3 linked regions of the Caenorhabditis elegans genome follow. The protein of the gene in region 1 purifies or fractionates together with the protein of each later gene. This does not show direct contact. Each region holds a gene or a part of one and is shown in the gene's direction. Other genes may lie near its edges. The genes, in order: cest-4, rnr-1 and exc-4.

Evidence for each region.
Region 2: the proteins of cest-4 (region 1) and rnr-1 fractionate together in Caenorhabditis elegans (co-fractionation; one large-scale study listed by BioGRID). This does not show direct contact.
Region 3: the proteins of cest-4 (region 1) and exc-4 fractionate together in Caenorhabditis elegans (co-fractionation; one large-scale study listed by BioGRID). This does not show direct contact.

What each region holds. Positions count from the first base shown.
Region 1 is NC_003282.8:6,800,693-6,804,449, reverse strand, and holds the start of cest-4 (Carboxylesterase type B domain-containing protein), read left to right. Parts: upstream 1-2,112; 5' UTR 2,113-2,190; coding exon 2,191-2,425; intron 2,426-2,669; exon of another isoform or gene 2,670-2,693; intron 2,694-2,751; exon of another isoform or gene 2,752-2,772; intron 2,773-3,124; coding exon 3,125-3,231; intron 3,232-3,278; coding exon 3,279-3,387; intron 3,388-3,541; coding exon 3,542-3,637; intron 3,638-3,690; coding exon 3,691-3,757.
Region 2 is NC_003281.10:9,226,052-9,229,808, reverse strand, and holds the start of rnr-1 (Ribonucleoside-diphosphate reductase large subunit), read left to right. Parts: upstream 1-1,558; 5' UTR 1,559-1,560; coding exon 1,561-1,686; intron 1,687-1,730; coding exon 1,731-2,009; intron 2,010-2,056; coding exon 2,057-2,787; intron 2,788-2,834; exon of another isoform or gene 2,835-2,959; intron 2,960-3,009; coding exon 3,010-3,660; intron 3,661-3,708; coding exon 3,709-3,757. Other genes in the region: T23G5.3 (uncharacterized protein), read left to right, coding at 1-225, 279-393, 467-574. UniProt on the Caenorhabditis elegans protein: Provides the precursors necessary for DNA synthesis. Catalyzes the biosynthesis of deoxyribonucleotides from the corresponding ribonucleotides.
Region 3 is NC_003279.8:14,517,082-14,520,838, reverse strand, and holds the start of exc-4 (Chloride intracellular channel exc-4), read left to right. Parts: upstream 1-2,119; 5' UTR 2,120-2,123; coding exon 2,124-2,504; intron 2,505-3,757. UniProt on the Caenorhabditis elegans protein: May insert into membranes and form chloride ion channels. Involved in the formation of the excretory canal. Required to prevent cystic lumenal expansions in the excretory cell.

The sequences.
Region 1 (3,757 bases):
AATTTGTTTTTCACGGTGTATATGTCTGAAACACTTTCAGTACACAGTTTATATAACCACTAGACTATTGAAATTAATTAATATTTATTATGCTAAGTATTTGATTTTTGTTTGAAACAGTAAAAAATTGAAAATTCTTGAAATATTGGCTCGGTGAAAAATGTTTCGCTGGGTAGAGTGTTTGGTTTTTACTAAAAAATTAAACCCCTTAAGACAAATTAAGACTATAATATTGGTTCTTAAAAGGTAAAAAAAGAGAAACCACAAATGAATCTTAATCAATCAATGTCAATATAACGGAAGAGAAAACAACATTTTCGTGTCATCAGCATGCTGGTGACAACACATGATTCTTCTTTTTTGATTGCTGTGAAATTGATAGATTCATTAAAATGAAGAGATTTAGAGATATGAGTAAGATGAGTCACCAATTCCTGAAAAAAAATCTGTGGAAACTGAGAGAAAATCGACAAGTATTTCCAATATTAGATACGTTTGAAAATTTAATTTAATTTTCATCGCATCCTTCGTCGGTTTTACATGTTGAATTTTTGAGTTTTTGTGGGAAACATTTGTTGAAAATAGAATGGATTTATGAGAGGTTTAGAGTGAAAGAGAAAGAGAAACTGAAAGAAAGGGAAAGATGACACTGGGACATCGGAAATCAGAGAAATTGAATCAAATCAATGATTTGAAAAGAATTTATGTTACAGCCGTGTTCCAAGTTCAACATTTCGTTAAAAAAATGTGACAACAGCTTTTAAAAAAATCAACTGCTTCACATCAGTATAAAAATGCAATTTCACATGTACTGCGAAAAAAAATAAATTTAGTTCCAGAAGCAATATATTTTATGATTCTACTCGAAATGGCTCAAAAAACTAATTATTTAAAAATTTTGAAAAAAACAGGCAGATGTTTTATTTATAGGGTTATTCAAGTAGTGTCGGAAAATTAAAAAGTGCAGAAAAATTACGTCACAACTGTATTCAAGTATATAAAAACATGTATTAAATACATTTGTGACGTCACAAATATATTTAAATACATTTTGCTACATTACTTGAATAACCCCATTACTGTCAAAAAGTGGCAATAACTGAGTTTTTGATACACATAATTCTGGAAGTCGACCAAAAATTTATTTTTTCTACGATTTTTTAAATTAATTAATTTTGTTTTGATAATTGATTTTAACACATTCTAGAGGTCGGAACATTCGAGATTGTTCCTTCCAAAATTTTGGCAAATTTCCAAAACTTTGCCTGGATATTTTGAAAAATAAAACTAAAAATGTTCGAAATGTTTTAATATGATATTCTGTCATTTCGGATATTTTAAGTGTATTTAGACAAAATCTACACTGGCTCTACTTAACCTTTAATGAACTAACAAATGGTCGAGAGTTTTCAAAACTCTCAGTTGAAGTTTTGACATTTGGCCAAATGTTCAAAAAAAAATTTTGAGAAAATTATAGTATTTTTTTATGTTTAAACTACTACAGTATCTAATACAAATTTCGTATTTCTTTTAAAAGTTTTGCAGTCAAGATTAATTTTCAATTGGTCCGTAAGGGTTCAAGACTAATAGAAGAAGTACTATAATTAAAACATAATTAGAATTAAAATTCATAAAATTGTTTTTTGATAAACCAACTGTAAATACAAAAGTTCAAAAAATATTTTTTTAATGTGTTTGTTTGGTCATTTGAGCACAGCATATATTAAAGGATGATAATCAAATAAAAATTAAGTTCCAACTGCTGCGACACCGAGAAATTGTCAAAATTTGAGATTTTAGCTACAAATGGGCCATTTTTTCCAAAACTTTGAGCCGCCATTACTTTTTTTTGAAAAATTTTCAGAACGTCTCATTACGAAATTTGGTAGTTTTGGATCATTTTGGGTCTAAAAAAGTAAATTCTCACATTTCGGTATCCACCTTTAAACATATCCAGACTGACACTACTACAGATTTTAACTGAAGGTATTTTCCTGAAACAGTAATTTTTCAGCATAAGTCACAATGAAAATTCACTTAAAATTGTAGATTGTGCTCAGACAGTGTTTATCAGTCTGTGTCTCACATGTGTCATTCTTCATGTTTGACTACAAACACATTATCAGTTTTCAAAAAAAAGAAATTTTGTTGTCAAACTAATTTTAGTGTTTGACATTGATTGATTCAGGAATGCTTTTACTTCCTGGTCTTATGAATAATTTGTTACTGTTTCTGTCATTTTTCTTATTATTCTCAATTACAAAATCTGCAATTGTTTCTACATCGTTGGGGCAAATTGATGGTGATCAAATTGGAAGTTTCCATTTATTTAAACATATTCCATTAGCAAAGCCACCAATTGGAAAATTAAGATTTCAAAAACCAGAACCGCCTGAGAAATGGACCGGAGTGAGAAATGCAAAAGGTATGGTTGAAAACTCTGAAATTAAATTAGATTAATTACTCTGAAAAACATGAAAAATTTACGTTTGTTTGTTAAATAAAAAATTTTCTGAAATTCAACGAAATTTTCTAAACACAATGAAATAGGAACTGCAGTTATAAAATCTGCAAAAAATATAGTAGATGGTCAAGATTTTCTCTTTCACTGCTAGAAATTTTTCGACTGTTTCAACGTGTCTAGAAAATCTAAACTAAATTTTCACTAATAATTTATAGTCTCTTATGATATCCTAAAATATTTCAATATTTCAACATGTTCATAAGTCTATACAAAAACTTCAGAAATAGTTAAACTTGATAAAACTTGCATCAGCGCCTTTGTCAATAAACTCAAATGTTGAAAACATTTAATTTAATAAATTTAAATTATATTTTATACTTTCGTTAATATATGTTTATACCAATAAACTTCAAATTTTTCAAAAATAGTTTCATAGCTGATCACAGTGTCTAAAATTGTTATAAATGTCCCAACGTATCAGACGCGTTGTTGTAGTGTGTTGCGTGCAAAACTGATCATCGAGTAGTCTACGAGTATTACAGATGTAGTTTAGACACAATTACCTTTGTTATAGAAGTATTGATATTTTTAATCATGCAAGTAATTGTCACGGAAAATGAATCCTTCAAATTTTTCAATTCAAATTTATTCCATTTTCAGCGTACGGACCAGCATGTATATCAAATTCATCTGTATCAACAAGCCCACAGAAATGGATTGATGAAGATTGTCTTCACATAAATATCTTCACTTCTGATAAATGTTTGGTAAGCTTTTGTTCCTCATAATATATCCAGACATAATAATGTTCCAGAAATCAAAAGACTGTGCAGTTGTTACATATTTTCATGGAGGAGGTCTCATGTATGACTCGGCTGTAATGTTTAATGATACGTATTTGCTTGGGACTTTTGTTAACCAAGGTATAGTGACTGTGAAACTGTTTTAAAATTAAAGTTTATTGGCAAATATGTTAAAGAAAATTTTATCACTGAGTCTAATTTTTCACTGTTTCAACATTTCCATAAAATCTTGAAGAAAATCAATCATCTTGATTTTACATTTTACATTTTTCAGATGTAATAATTGCGATTCCTGCTTTCCGTCTTGGCATTTTTTCTCATTTCGTTGTTGAAGATCAAAGTATTGCTCCCACAAACTTGGCACTTTATGGTATAAATATATTTGCAATTAAAATTGAATTGAGGCTACTAAACTAATTTCAGACATTCTACTCGGCGTCGAGTTTGTGAAGAATGAAATTCACAATTTTGGAGGAAATAACCAGAAAAA
Region 2 (3,757 bases), on another chromosome or scaffold:
ATCAACTCCAATACCGAACCAAATCTTGACCCAAAAAGAAAATGTTCCGATTGTCCCACGTAATCTTCTTCTTTCGAAACCACCTCCACCTCCACCACCACCACTTCCGTCATTGATGCAGCCGAAGGATACTGTACAAATTCCGATGAGAAAACCTCCAACTGGCAGAAATTCCAAAAAAATTAAAACGTCTGCAGATTCGATTAGTCTTCCAAGGAACTTTACGTGAGATTTGGATATCTTTTATCTATTAATTACTTACAAAAGTTTATTTTCAGACATATTGCACATGTTGGTTGGAATGGTGCATCGGTACTTTTTGATAAGAAAATGACTGATGATCCGACTGTGAGGAAAATCTGTGATGCTGCTGCAGAGGCAGTTGATCTTAGTGTGAGTAACTTTCTTGAAAATTAGTAGAATATCTATAGAATTATAAAATTAAAATTCATTTATCTATTTTCAGGCGGTATACAATGTTGTCAACAAAAATGCGGATGAGGAGAGCCATAGCGTGGAAGTGCTCATAACTGGAGGATTAATGCAGTCAAGAGATGGAACATCTCGTCACTAACCATTTGAATATATCTGTGTCAAAATAAATTATTTATGTCATGTCTTGCATGCCAACAGATACGCGTTTTTCGAATTTTCGAAAATTCGCAATCACAGCTGGTGGTTTTTTATTGTCTGAATTGACCGACAGCAAATTTTAGTGATCTCTGACAAAACATCAGAAAATAAAAAACTACGCTTTTTTGTCCGCAGTTTGAAAATTTAAGGAAAAACTGAATATAAATATTATTTCATCGAAACATGTTTTTTTCTTTAAAAAATTACCGTACTCTTTCAAAGGCGCACGCATAAAGTTTTTAAATACAATATTTCGTGTCGAGACCATTACAGTAACCCGCGGCAAAATTGTGTTTTACAGCTTTTATTTTCGGGGTTTCTTCTGATCTTATGCATTTTTATGTGGTTTTATTTTGAATTTTACGTTTTTTTTTAAATTTCAGAGCAATGAAATGCGATTATCGGACTTGTCCTAAAGGGCGGAGCCATGGTTAGAGGCGGTGCTTGTGGTGCCGAAGGGTATAAATAGATTTTTTCCTCACACAGAAAACTAAACACATTTTTTGTTTAAATGAAATTCTTCAGCTGTGAATTAATATTTCATTTCAAACTGCCGTAGTTAGAAATGCTCAGGACCGTGGATTTTCGGTTTGAATTTCTAGGCCAATTTTGTGTGTTTCGACATTAGCTCACTTCTATCAGAAAACCATATTGAAGCCAGAATTCGTAGGAAAATATAATGTATTCTGTTTCACTGTAATACTTGTTTTTTCTATGAGACCAAGATTTCAATAATTCGTTTTCCTTTTGAATTTGAATTCCGATGGAGCGCGTTTGTTTGGTCTGCGTCTCGTTTTCGCGCGTTCCTCTATTACCTAGGCGCGAAAACTAGTAAATTTGAGATGAACTGGTCATTTGAAAATTCTCTCCGCTCCTCCATTTTCACTCTTTTCTTCTCAAATTGTTAATAATTCATCTTTTCCAGTTATGCAACGTTACAACAGCACTTATGTTGTCAAGCGGGATGGGCGAAAGGAAGATGTACACTTCGACAAGATCACTTCCAGAATTCAGAAGCTGAGCTATGGATTGAACATGGATTTTGTCGATCCGGTTTGTTATTAAACACAAGTTCAATGATGAATTAAATTTTCCAGGTCGCTGTTGCAATCAAAGTTATCAGTGGCTTGTACAAAGGAGTGACAACTGTTGAGTTGGATAATCTTGCTGCAGAGACTGCTGCTTCCATGACCACACAACATCCGGAATATGCTCTTCTTGCCGCTCGAATCGCCGTTTCGAACTTGCACAAGAAAACGAATAAGGTGTTCTCGGAAGTTATGAAAACCCTTCACGAGTTCCATCATCCTCATACCGGAAAACACGCACCAATGATCAGTGATGAGACTTGGGCTATCATTGAGAAGAATGCTGATGTTAGTTTTCCTAGGAATTGCATTTATTCAAAAAAATTTCATTTCAGAAGCTGAATTCCGCCATCGTCTACGATCGTGACTATTCCTACACCTATTTCGGATTCAAAACACTGGAGCGTTCCTACCTTCTCAAGATAAACAAGGAGATTGTCGAGCGCCCACAGCAGATGTTGATGCGTGTTTCTATTGGAATCCATGGAGATGATATTACTTCCGCAATCGAGACCTATAATCTGATGTCGGAGCGTTACATGACCCATGCGTCCCCAACTCTCTTCAATTCGGGAACATGCCGTCCTCAGATGTCTTCATGCTTCCTTCTGACAATGAGTGAAGACTCCATTCTCGGAATCTACGATACATTGAAGCAGTGTGCTCTTATTTCAAAAAGTGCCGGAGGAATCGGACTCAATGTTCACAAAATTCGCGCCACTGGATCTGTGATCGCTGGAACTAATGGAACATCTAACGGACTCATACCAATGCTTCGTGTCTACAATAATACTGCTCGTTATGTTGATCAAGGAGGAAACAAACGCCCAGGAGCATTTGCTATTTACCTGGAGCCATGGCACGCCGATATCTTCGAGTTTGTATCTCTCCGCAAGAACACTGGACCGGAAGAGGAACGTGCCAGAGACCTGTTCCTTGCTCTTTGGATTCCAGATCTCTTTATGAAGCGAGTCGAGAAGGATCAAGAATGGTCGTTGATGTGCCCATGTGAATGTCCAGGACTTGATGATTGCTGGGGAGAGGAGTTCGAAGCTCTTTACGCCAAGTAAGTATCTCCTGGTTCTTATTTTTTTAATTACCGAAGTGCGATATCCAGACAGAACTTTAAGAGTACTGCTTGGACTGAGTTTACTAACTTCGAATATGAAATAGTTGATCGATAACCGGAATATACTCAAAAAAAAAGGTGTGCTCCGGACAAAAATCAACTAACAAAAACTTTTAAACAGTGAAGTTAAATTTGCAAAGTTCATATCAAAATTTCCAGATACGAAGCCGAGGGACGAGTCCGCAAAACGGTGAAGGCCCGCAAGCTCTGGGAGCACATCGTTTCCAACCAAATCGAGACCGGGCTTCCATACATCACCTACAAAGATGCCGCCAATCGCAAGTCTAACCAGCAAAATCTTGGAACTATCAAGTGTTCCAACTTGTGCACTGAAATCATAGAGTACTCTGCTCCAGATGAGATTGCAGTTTGCAACCTTGCTTCCATTGCTCTCAATCGCTACGTGACCCCCGAGAAAAAGTTCGACTTCGTCAAACTGGCTGAGGTGACTAAAGTTATAACCAGAAATTTGAATAAGATTATTGACGTCAACTACTATCCAGTCGAGGAGGCTCGCAACTCTAATATGCGCCATCGCCCAATCGGGCTTGGTGTCCAAGGACTCGCTGATTGCTTCATGTTGATGCGTTACCCATTCACTTCGGCAGAAGCCAGAGATCTCAACAAACGAATCTTCGAAACCATCTACTACGCTGCATTGGAAGCCAGTTGTGAATTGGCTGAGTTGAATGGACCATACTCGACATACGAAGGATCTCCAGTATCGAAAGGACAGCTTCAATTTGATATGTGGGGAGTCACTCCAACCGATCAATGCGATTGGGCCACTCTTCGCAAGAAAATTGCAAAGTAAGATTAAAATACTCTTTCGAATCTGATTAAACTACTTATTTACAGGCATGGTATCCGCAACAGTCTTCTGATGGCTCCAATGCCAACTGCTTCC
Region 3 (3,757 bases), on another chromosome or scaffold:
AACCGTTTCTGTGTGATTCGTTTCCGATTACACCACCAACAGCAGCACCCGCCGACCGACCGACCGACGTCTCCACAATTTTTATGATTGTATGTATGTATGTATTATATGTTAGTGTCTAGTGTAGATGTATTTGTATCTTTCTCTTCTTCTTCTTCTACTTCTACACACTGCGGGATTTCCAAATTGGACATTTATTTGGGGGACGGTTTTCTCTGGGGTCTCTACACTCTCTGTTCGATCCGTTCGGGGGGTGTCTCGTCAATTAACAAGTTGCGAGACCATGTACCTGCTGACTTTCTGGACGATTTCATAATTTTTTTTCGATTTTTTTGGCATTTTTTATCAGAAAAATGTGTACTTAAGCCGTAAATCGACATAATTTTTAAAAGAGCCATTTTGGCATGTTGTTTCATTAAAATCTAATCACGAAATATAGAAATCGCAGAATCTAACCGAAAAACTTAATTTTACTTTAAAAAATTTTGCGAAGCAATTTAAATCTTTTACACGTGGTGTCAGACTGTCTCATTGCGGTTTGATCTATGAAAAATGCGGGAATATTTTTCCAGAAAATTGTGACGTCAGCACGCACTTAACCATGCGAAATCAGATTAGATGTCTGCGTCTCTTCTCCCGCATTTTTCGAAGATCAAAGCAAAATGAGACTTTCTGTGACTCCACGTGATTCTAATATTCTTTACCAAAAATATTTGTCACGGAATATAGAAAATGAGGTTTTCTAATTCAATATAGCTTTAATTCCAATTGAAAGGCTTTAGGAGGACATCTTGTCTGAAAATCGGGAGATTTCCCGCAATTTGCAACTTTCAGCTAGTTTTTTGCACACTTTAGAACTAAAATACCTCGTACCTTGTATTTTAGTTCAAAGTGTTCAAATCTCGTCTAAAAGTTGCGAATTACTGAAAAACCCCCCATTCCATTGCAATTACAATTACAATTTTTGTTACTAAAACCTTAAACCTGAAATTAAAATATATTTTTAGTAAGAAATATTGAAAGTAAATTCCACAATGGCTCATTTTTTATTACGGGAACAAGAAATTCTGAGAATGCGTACATCGCAACATATTTGACGCGCAAAATATCTCGTAGCGAAAACTACAGTAATTCTTAAAATGACTACTGTAGCGCTTGTGTCGATTTACGGAAATCGTTTATTAATTGATAGCGTATTAAAAGCACACTTTAAAAATAACACAGTAAAAAAAGCTACAGAAAATTGAATATCATTGTCTCGAAAGTCAGTCCCGTAAATCCACACACACAGAGCTACAGTAGTCATTTGAAGGGTTACTGTAGGTTTCGCTACGAGATATTTTGCGCGTCAAATATGTTGCGATGTACGCATTCTCAGAATTTTCTGTTCTCGTAATAGAATTTCCCCTGGAAACTAAAGTTTTCAAGCTATCTCGAACTTGCTTTGTATAATATTTTCTAGTAACAAAACAAAAAATTTCTTCAATTTCATTGAGAAATTCCCAGAAACAAATTTCCAGAAACATGCTAAAATCTGATGCTGAAATCCAAAAAAAGGTGTGGAAAACTCCCAAAACTAGCTATTAAATCTAAATTTTGAACATTCATTGGAAAATTAACAAATATTCGTAAAAAACGGATGTTGTTACCTAAAATTTCCAGTATTTACACCAATTGTCGTAAATATTTTCTCACTAAATTTAAAAATTCTCCATTTATTCGATATATATATATATCATTTACTATATATAAAGCGCTTATTCTGTGTGTCCATAGTTTGTAGTCTATGTGGTCTTTGTAGTCTGTGAAGTTTTGGCTTCTGGAGGGATAGTGAGTTAGGGTTAGTGTAGGGATATAGTCGGGGTACTGTAGTGGTACAATAGTGGTACGGTAGGAATACTGTAGGGTTACGGTAGTTTCATAAAAAATTAATTTTCAGCCCCAGAAGTCGGGGGCCGCGCCGAAGGTGCGGTCCACGGCTGGTATATATATATATATATACCAGCCGTGGTATATATATATATATATATTTAAAATATACACTAATTTTCTTCTGTTTCTTCCGGATTTATTGTGTTATCTCACCAAATTTTCCTCTCCAACAACCACCGCTAATTCCAGATATGGCAGAAGCTTACCAGATCCAATCAAACGGAGATCCCCAATCAAAACCTCTTCTCGAGCTCTACGTAAAAGCGTCAGGAATTGATGCTCGCCGCATTGGAGCCGATCTTTTCTGTCAGGAATTCTGGATGGAGTTGTATGCTCTTTATGAGATTGGAGTTGCACGAGTCGAAGTGAAGACTGTCAACGTGAATTCTGAAGCATTTAAGAAGAACTTTCTCGGAGCACAACCACCGATTATGATTGAAGAGGAAAAAGAGCTGACATACACTGATAATCGAGAGATTGAAGGACGGATCTTTCATTTGGCAAAGGAATTCAATGTTCCACTCTTTGAAAAGGATCCATCCGCTGAGAAGAGAATAGAGAACTTGTACAGGGTGAGTGTATGGAAGAAGAAGAAGCCCGGAAACTGTCGATTTACGCGGATCGTGTACTCCTCGTGGAAAAGATTCTGTAGTTTTCAGGGTTGTGGGGCACTTTTTTTTCACTTTTTCGTCAAAAAAATGAATTTTTAGTCTAAAATTGATATAGAAATATAGAAAACGGGTTGTTCTATTTGAAAATAACATTTACTTTTGTTGAAAATCTTGAAAAAGACCTCAAATAGTGCCTGAAAGTTGCCGTTTGCCGGAAAAGTGCCGTTAAAAGTTTTTAGATTAAAAAAACTGGGTTCTTTCAAAATGAAAATCCCTTTAATCACATACACATGAAAATAACATTAATTTTTGTTCCGTTTGCCGGAAAAAGTGCCGATTAAAGGTGATTTTCATTTTGAAACAACCCAGTTTTTTTAATCTAAAAACTTTTAACGGCACTTTTCCGGCAAACGGCAACTTTCAGGCACTATTTGAGGTCTTTTTCAAGATTTTCAACAAAAGTAAATGTTATTTTCAAATAGAACAACCCGTTTTCTATATTTCTATATCAATTTTAGATTAAGAACGAATTTTATTTTCCACGAGGAGTACACGATCCGCGTAAATCGAACGCCTAATGTGTTGATTTACGCGGATCGTGTATTCCTCGTGGAAAAGATTATCCAGTTTTCAGGGCTGTGCGGCACTTTTTCGGCAAAAAAATAAATTTTTAATCTAAAATTGATATAGAAATGTAGAAAACGGGTTGTTCTATTTGAAAATAACATTTATCTTTGTTGAAAATCTTGAAAAGCCGAAAAAGTGCCGTTAAAAGGTTTTGATGACTTTTTCAAGATTTTCAACAAAAATATATGTTATTTTCAACTAGAACAACCCATTTTCTACATTTCTATAAAAATTTAAATCAAAAAATGGATTTTTTGCGAAAAAATGCCTTGTACTCCACGAGGAGAACATTTTGCAGTTTTTGCTGATTTATAGTGTTTTCAGTGAAACAAAAATACATCATTTCCCCGGGAAAATTGAAAATTTTTGTTAGAAAAAGCGAAAAATACAAGTTTTTAACGAAAACTCTGAAAATTTCCGCGAAAAATATTTAATTCATCAATTTTCAACAGGGTTTCCCCACGAAAATCGTCAATTTTCGTAAAATTCTCGATTTTCTTTTGAAAATACCGAATTTTTACCGAAAAATAATCACTTTTCCGCCAAAAACTGCATTTTTTCAGAAATTTCTGGTTTTCTCACTGAAA